Callithrix jacchus: one gene and its partner. The protein of the gene in region 1 interacts with the protein of each later gene in a biochemical or structural test. Links are inferred from orthologs where the notes say so. Each region holds a gene or a part of one and is shown on either strand. Other genes may lie near its edges. The genes, in order: LMNA and EMD.

Region 1 (3,801 bases):
GCAGTGATGCCCAGCTCAGGCCTATCCCTCCACCCTCCTGGTCATCACCGTCCTACCCTTGTGTCCTTCCCTCCAGCTGGACAATGCCCGGCAGTCTGCTGAGAGGAACAGCAATCTGGTGGGGGCCGCCCACGAGGAGCTGCAGCAGTCACGCATCCGCATCGACAGCCTGTCTGCCCAGCTCAGCCAGCTCCAGAAGCAGGTGATACCCCACCTCACCCCTCCCTCCAGGGGCCTGGAGTCTGGGCAGGATGCAGGCTGGAAGCTCAGGGCCGGGTTGTGGGGGGTGTTCCTGAGGAGGACAGGGACAAACATGTCCCCAGGACCACAGAGAAGGGTCGCAAGATGCGGCATCAGGCGGCCTGTGTGCTGCTTCTGCACTCTTACCTTGCCTTCACTTCTCAAGGCTTCGATTTTCCCACTCGGAAATGGAAGCTGTTCTTAATCTCCCTGACTCAGAGTTGCCATAAGACTCTGCAATGTGAGGTGTTAAAAGCATCAGTATGATTCTAGCTGGCTGTGCCATCTGTGATGGGAGAAAAAGGGTCTAGCCTCAGAGTGAGAGATTTCAGTTAGACAAGGGGACAAGGGGAAGGACTTCCCAGTTGCCAGCCAAGACTATGATTAGAGCTTGTGATGGGCTCTGGGGAAGCCTCTGATTGCAGATCCTGGAGAAGGTGGCCATGTCCCTCCTCCTCCATACTTGGGGCCCTTGGGAGCTCACCAACCCCCCCAATCCCCTCCTTCCCAGCTGGCAGCCAAGGAGGCGAAGCTTCGAGACCTAGAGGACTCGCTGGCCCGTGAGCGGGACACCAGCCGGCGGCTGCTGGCAGAGAAGGAGCGGGAGATGGCTGAGATGCGGGCAAGGATGCAGCAGCAGCTGGATGAATACCAGGAGCTGCTGGACATCAAGCTGGCTCTGGACATGGAGATCCATGCCTACCGCAAGCTCCTGGAGGGTGAGGAGGAGAGGTGAGTTGGGGAGGCATCGGGGAGGTGGTGGCAGTGGCCTCTGGCCAGCCACTGGCCCTGACTAGACCCCCACTTGGCCTCCCTCTCCCCAGGCTACGCCTGTCCCCCAGCCCCACCTCGCAGCGCAGCCGCGGCCGTGCTTCCTCCCACTCGTCCCAGACACAGGGTTCAGGCAGCGTCACCAAAAAGCGCAAATTGGAGTCCACCGAGAGCCGCAGCAGCTTCTCGCAGCACGCACGCACTAGTGGGCGCGTGGCCGTGGAGGAGGTGGACGAGGACGGCAAGTTTGTCCGGCTGCGCAACAAGTCCAATGAGGTAGGCTCCTGGTCAGGGTCTCAGGGGGTACAACTGCATCAGTGAGAGAGTGGCAAGACAGAGGGATGACATGCGGAGAGAGGGTCATCCCACCCCTCAGAGGGTGGACCAGAGTGAGCCTGTATATCTCCTCCACACTCTAGTTCCAGGCCTTGCTCCTGGACTCCTTGGCTGTGAGATCTTCAACAGGTTCTTTAACCTTTCAGAGTGTCAGTTTCCTCATCAGTAAAATGGGATCAATAATGATCCCTAAGTCTTTGAGTTGTCAGGAAGATGACAGATAAGGTATCCGTGTGCCTGGCGCTGCATATGTGTCCACAGATCATGGCTATTATCCCCAGGCGGAAGGGCAGGGACAGGGGTGGGTGTAGATGGAAGAAAGCCAAGATACAGCCAGGAGCCTGGGTGAGCCTCCCCCACCTTCCTCTTCCCTATCTTCCTGGCAGGACCAGTCCATGGGCAACTGGCAGATCAAGCGCCAGAATGGAGATGATCCCTTGCTGACTTACCGCTTCCCACCAAAGTTCACCCTGAAGGCTGGGCAGGTGGTGACGGTGAGTGGCAGGGTGCTTGGGACTCTGGGGAGGCCTTGGGTGGCAATGGGAGCGCTAGAGTAAGTGTCCTTTTCTAATCCCTCCTCTCCAGATCTGGGCTGCAGGTGCTGGGGCCACCCATAGCCCCCCTACTGACCTGGTGTGGAAGGCACAGAACACCTGGGGCTGCGGGAACAGCCTGCGCACGGCTCTCATCAACTCCACTGGGGAAGTACGTATGCCGGGGCCGGGCTGCTTCCTAGACGAGGCTCCCCCTAGTGGCCAACATCGGAGCCAGCTGCCCCCAACCCAAGTTTACCAATTCAGGGCCCCTTTCTAGGGCTCTCTGGTGCAGGCCCCAGATGTTCCCAGCCAGTAGGCAAACCAAAAGATGCTTCCCCAACAGCACGCGGGGTGGAAGTCAGACAGTGAGTGAGGATTGCTAAAGGCAGAATCATACTCCTACTCGGAGAACTTGACAGTGTCCCTCTGGGGTAGAAATGAGTTCCTTAGCTCCGTCATCGCAGAGGGCAGAGTAAGCAGCAGGCTGGACAAAGGGCAGGCCACAAGGAAAGCTGCAGGTGGTCACTGGGGTAGACATGCTGCACACCCCTTCCCTGGCCCTGACCCTTGGGCCTGGTCCTGTGTCCCCGCCAGGAGGTGGCCATGCGCAAGCTGGTGCGTTCAGTGACTGTGGTTGAGGACGATGAGGATGAGGATGGAGATGACCTGCTCCATCACCACCACGTGAGTGGCAGCCGCCGCTGAGGCTGAGCCTGTACTGGTACCACCCAGCCAGGCCTGGGGGCAGCCTCTCCCCAGCCTTCCGTGCCAAAAATCTTTTCATTAAAGAATGTTTTGGAACTTCACTCGCTGGCCTGGCCTTTCTTCTCTCTCCTCCCTATACCTTGAACAGGGAACCCAGGTGTCTGGGTGCCCTACTCTGGTAAGGAAGGGAGTGGGAACTTTCTGATGCCATGGAATATTCCGGTGGGAGCAATGGACAAGGGTCTGGATTTGTCTCCTGGGAAGGGGACAGGAGGACAGACGTGGGGCATGCCCGCCCTGCCTCTCTCCCCCACTCCTGTTGCATGCATATCCTCTCTTTTCCCTCATTCTTCCTGTGAGAATGTTCTCTCATTCCTGCCCCCACTCCAATGAATAGTGCGTGCCTCCTGCCCTATAAGCATGCTCCCTTTCCCTCTTCTTTCCCTCTTAAGCTCAGAGTAGCTGGAGCAGAGTCAGAGTCACCGCTCTGGTTCTCTGTCCCCAAGTCTTGCTGAGCCTTCTCCTATTTCTCATCTTCCTTCCCCTCCTCCCAGCCCCTGGCCTCCCAAACCCCTGTTACCCACTGGCTCCTTGGGCACAGAACCCCACCTTCCTGCCTGGTGGCTGGAGCCTGCAAGAGCCCAGAGCCTGGGTGTTGGGCCTGAGTGGTCAGTCCCAGACTCGCCGTCCCGCCTGAGCCTTGTCTCCCTCCCCAGGGCTCCCACTGCAGCAGCTCGGGGGACCCCGCTGAGTACAACCTGCGCTCGCGCACCGTGCTGTGCGGGACCTGCGGGCAGCCTGCCGACAAGGCATCTGCTGGCAGCTCAGGAGCCCAGGTGGGCGGATCCATCTCCTCTGGCTCTTCTGCCTCCAGTGTCACGGTCACTCGCAGCTACCGCAGTGTGGGGGGCAGTGGGGGTGGCAGCTTCGGGGACAACCTGGTCACCCGCTCCTACCTCCTGGGCAACTCCAGACCCCGAACCCAGGTGAGTTGTCTCTGCTTTGTCTCCAAGCCCTGCAGGTGGGTCCCTGGTCATCGAGGGGTAGGATGAGGCGGCCTCGCAGGGGGGAGAGCCTGCCTTCTCTTCCGCAGCCCGGGGGAGTGGGAGCCTCCTCCCCACAGCCTGAGGCCTAGACGGCCCACCCCTGCATCCTGCCCCTTGTCTGAGCCCCAGACTGGAGGGCAGGGGCAGGGCTGGAGCGTGAGGGATAG
Region 2 (4,383 bases), on another chromosome or scaffold:
TAGAATATGAATGTCACAGCTGTATGCAGTGGCTCATGCCTGTAATCCCAGCACTTTGAGAGGCCAAGGTGGGCTGATCACTTGAGGTCAGGGTTTGAGACCAGCCTGGCCAACATGGTGAAACCCCATTTCTACTAAAAGTACAAAAAGTAGCCAGGTGTGGTGGCATGTGATTGTACTCCCAGCTACTAGGGAGGCTGAGACAGGAGAATCACTTGAACCTGGGAGGTGGAGGCTACAGAGACTCAAGATTGCGGCTCTGCACTCCAGCTTGGGTGACAGAGCGAGACTCTCTCAAAAAAAAAAAAAAAAAAAAAAAAAAAGAATATCACCTCTTCTCCATTCTCCGTAGGGCAGCCCTTATCTGATCAAGGTCCTGGGAATCCTAGCCACAGTCCAGGCTCCTGAGCAGGCCTTGGCAGCCCTTCCATAGCTCGACACCCACGTCTGCCCCCTGCCGGGCTATGCTGGGCTCAGGGGCCATTCCGACAGAAGAGGAAGCCCCACTTCAGCTCCCGCCAGTGCCCCGGGTGAATGAACGACATGAAGCGTTAGGCTGGACACACGTCATCTCTGCACACATCGCACAGCGCCCTCTGTCCGCGCTCACTGGCGTGCTCGCTGGCTTGCCCGGGCCCCTTCGAAGGCTGCTTGCTCCTGGAGTGCCGGCGGCCTCCTGGCCCAGTGCCCCATTTCCTCCCGGGTGGAGCGAGGTAGGAGAAAAGGAAGGAGGGAGGCGGTGGGAAGCAGCGAGCATATGTGCACGGGCGACAGCCCTGCAGACTGGGAAGGTGGGCCCGTGGCAGGGGGTCTGCGAGGACCGCGTAGGCGCGGGCCTTGCCCCACAGCCGCTTCCCAGGTGATGCGCACACAAAGCTCCCTCAGTAGTGCCTAGCCCGGGGCCGGCGCTCCCTTAGGGTTCAGACCCTTCCCGCCGCTGCTGGGGCGGCCGACCCGGATGCGGCCGGGGAATCCTACGCCCTGGGGCCACGGGAAAGGGGACCAGGGCGTAGAGAAGGGATGTGCTGGGACGGTGGGGAGCCCAAGTGACTTAGGGACCAGAGCCACCGCTAGCGCCCACTTAGGCCGCTCTCACTTCCCGGCCGGCAGATGCCGGGTGTTAGACACACAGGCCCCGCCCCTCTCTACCGACTGGCTCACGCACGCCTCAAGGTGACGTCTAGGCTCCCAGCCGCACCGCCCAGACTCCCGTGCGGGCCCCACCCCCAACAGCTCCGGGCGTTAGTGACGTACGGACTCGCGACCCCGCTCGCTCCCACCGCGACACCTTCTGCTCCGCTCCCGCGCGGGCCCCGCCCCCTCCATCGCTAGCCAATCCGTGTGTTTGTGACGTTGGGCTTGCGGCCCCGCCCACTCCCACCGCGAGACTGATTCCCACTGTCCTGACTCTCGGCGCGGGCCCCGCCCCGTCCGCCGCTAGCCAATCCGTGCGTTTATGACGTTTGGACTCACTGCCCCAGCCTCCCAGCTCCCAAGGCCCGGCCGTTCTGCGCCTGCTGCTCCCGCCGTTAAGCCCCTCCCCGCACAGCGCGCGCAGCCTGCGGAGCCCGAGGCCGTGACGAGACAGTGATTTGGCTGTGACGCGAGCGCGATCGCTCCCGAGGCGCTCGTGCCGCCCCCGCCGTGATCCTCGGCAGCCGCTGCTCGGCGGGTTTTGGCAGGGGCCCGGCTTCCGCCCGCGCCCGCACCCGCCATGGACGACTACGCGGGTCTTTCGGATACCGAGCTGGCCGCCGTGCTGCGCCAGTACAACATACCTCACGGGCCAGTTGTCGGTACGCGGCGGCGGGCAGGACCTGCCCCCGGGCCCCCTCCCCGCGCTCTGCCCCGCGCCCTCCCCGCCACCCTACCCGCGCGCCTTCCCCGGCTTGTGGCCCTGACCGCCTCGTGTCCGGCCAGGGTCTACTCGTAAGCTTTACGAGAAGAAGATCTTCGAGTACGAGACCCAGAGGCGGCGGCTCTCGCCCCCCAGCTCGTCCGCCGCCTCCTTCTCCTATCGCTTCTCTGGTGAGAGCCTCGCTTGTGGGGACCGGGCCTGGGATGCGGGGAGATCGGGGTCGCGAGGGTGTGGCAGGGGCGCCGGTCGAGAGCGGCACCGGGGAGAGGGGAGGGAAGCCTGGGGGGCAAACAGTTCTGTCGCCTCCCTTCAATCCAGACTTGAATTCGCCGTCAGTGGATTCAGATATGTATGATCTTCCCAAGAAAGAGGACGCCTTACTCTACCAGAGCAAGGGTAAGGCAGGGGTGGGGTGGGCACGCTGGCACGTTCACCTGACTGCGTCAGGGACCCCGCTCACAGGGAGGACCTGAGACCTCAGCCCCAACCACTCCAGCAGCCTTAGGAGGGAGAAACTGTCACAGGTCCCGAAAGAGATTCAGATTAGGGCCAGCAGGCCAGGTGGGGCACACCGATGCCCCCTCTGCTACCGCTGCCCCCCTTCCCAAGGCTACAATGACGACTACTATGAAGAGAGCTACTTAACTACCAGGACTTATGGGGAGCCCGACTCTGCGGGCCAGTCCAGGGGCTTCCGCCAGTCTGCGACTTCACTCCCAGATGCTGACACTTTCCACCACCAGGTGAGCTGGCTGGCAGGTGCCCTGTACTTGAGTACAATCTAGGGGATGGCGGCTGTGTTTGGATAAATCCAGGGGGCCACTGGATACAAATGGTGGCTTCTGTGCTTCTGGGGAGACTGGCTCAGCAGACGCCTGTTTGGCCAGGTCCCTACTTTGGGGAGCCATCAGAACTGTGACTAGAGCACCCTGGTCTGCAATCTAGGCTCAAGCTTTTCCTGAGACTCCTGGGGGCAAAAGGGAATAGCAGGGCATGAGCACAAGTGACAAGACCCCACAAACAAAAGACTGAACACCAAGAGCCATTCGGGAGGGTGTGGGTCCCTGGCCTCTAACCAAAGGTCAGAGGGCACCAGCTGGGGAAGTTTGGACTGAGGGATGTGGCAGGGCCATGGTGGCCCTGCCAGTCGGTCCACTCACCCTGACTCTCTTCTGCAGGTGCGTGATGACAATCTTTTGTCTTCTGAAGAGGAGTGCAAGGATAGGTACGTAGAGGGCAGGCCCAGGAACAGGGACTGGTTCTGCACCCAGGCTCCTGGCCCACCTGCTCCCCTCTTTTGCCTCAGGGAACGTCCCATGTACGGCCGGGACAGTGCCTACCAGAGCATCGCGCACTACCGCCCTGTTTCAGCCTCCAGGAGCTCCCTGGGCCTATCCTATTATCCTACCTCCTCCTCCACCTCTTCTGTGTCCTCATCTTCATCTTCCCCTTCATGGCTTACCCGCCGAGCCATCCGGCCAGAAAAGCATGCTCCTGGGGCTGGGCTTGGCCATGATCGCCAGGTCCCGCTCTGGGGCCAGCTGCTGCTTTTCCTGGTCTTTGCGATCTTCCTCTTCTTTGTTTACTACTTCATGCAGGCGGAGGAAGGCAACCCCTTCTGGAGGGAGCCCTGAGGGTCTGGGCTTCAGAGCCAGCTCTTCTGGGGAAGTCCTGGCTGATGGCCTTAGCAGTGAGGGTGGGGGTGGGGGTGGGGGTGGGGGCTTTTGTGTGTGTTCTCGCTTGGGGGGCGCTGGCCCAGCCCAGAGTAGTGCTTGCTCCCCTGCCTTGTCCCACCAGGGAGGCAGCAGACTCAAGCCCTCCATGATCTGGGGGACCTGGGTGTGCTTTCCTCTCTAGCCTCCTGGCCCTGCTTGCCTGTAACCCTTAGGGTCCAGGAGGGCAAGGCCTCGCTCCATCAGAGAACATGGTTATTGTTGTTGTCATGCATGCCTCCTTTTAGTTGTCATCTTGAGGGGATTAACCAAAGGCCACCATGACTTTGTTTTCGTGGACACACAATAAAAACCCCATTTATTTTTAATGTGTTGACTCTTCCTGGAGGAGAGGGTTGGGTTCCCATGGCAAGGGCATCTGGCCTTGCTGGGTCTGCATTTTGGCTTTGGTCTGGGGATAGGAATCAATTGCTACCCAGAAATGTTTGTGTTTTGTTTGGGAGTTTTATTCCCTGACTCATTCCCCAAAGCACGTGTAACTGCTTATACATATAATTGTGGTACAACAAGGTATATACAGAGAACCCACTTGGAAATTCAGGCAAAGCTGCATGCACGCCACCAGCAGTCTGCGGGTGTTTTAACTGGAAAAAGCTGAAGTCCACCCGATTGTCCAAAGGCATGGGGACAGAAAGAAGATGAGGCGTCTCATTGGCAGATCATCCTTGGCTCCTGGAACTGCTGCTTGTTTACCATGGGAGAAAAGCTCCAAAGGCCGCATCATCCCTGGGTGGTAGAATTCACCTGCCTATATTCTCACTTAACTCCCAGATTTTCTGCCCTGGGTATGTA

Evidence for each region.
Region 2: the proteins of LMNA (region 1) and EMD form a complex in vitro, tested with the Homo sapiens proteins (4 studies listed by BioGRID and IntAct, with this or other methods). The link is inferred for Callithrix jacchus from reciprocal best matches to the Homo sapiens genes LMNA and EMD.

The regions. Positions count from the first base shown.
Region 1 is NC_133519.1:16,528,478-16,532,278, forward strand, and holds part of LMNA (lamin), read left to right. Parts: intron 1-76; coding exon 77-202; intron 203-751; coding exon 752-972; intron 973-1,064; coding exon 1,065-1,287; intron 1,288-1,733; coding exon 1,734-1,841; intron 1,842-1,932; coding exon 1,933-2,052; intron 2,053-2,477; coding exon 2,478-2,567; intron 2,568-3,304; coding exon 3,305-3,574; intron 3,575-3,801.
Region 2 is NC_133524.1:150,171,513-150,175,895, forward strand, and holds EMD (emerin), read left to right. Parts: upstream 1-1,581; 5' UTR 1,582-1,714; coding exon 1,715-1,796; intron 1,797-1,920; coding exon 1,921-2,028; intron 2,029-2,176; coding exon 2,177-2,254; intron 2,255-2,467; coding exon 2,468-2,601; intron 2,602-3,036; coding exon 3,037-3,083; intron 3,084-3,164; coding exon 3,165-3,492; 3' UTR 3,493-3,899; downstream 3,900-4,383. UniProt on the Homo sapiens protein: Stabilizes and promotes the formation of a nuclear actin cortical network. Stimulates actin polymerization in vitro by binding and stabilizing the pointed end of growing filaments. Inhibits beta-catenin activity by preventing its accumulation in the nucleus.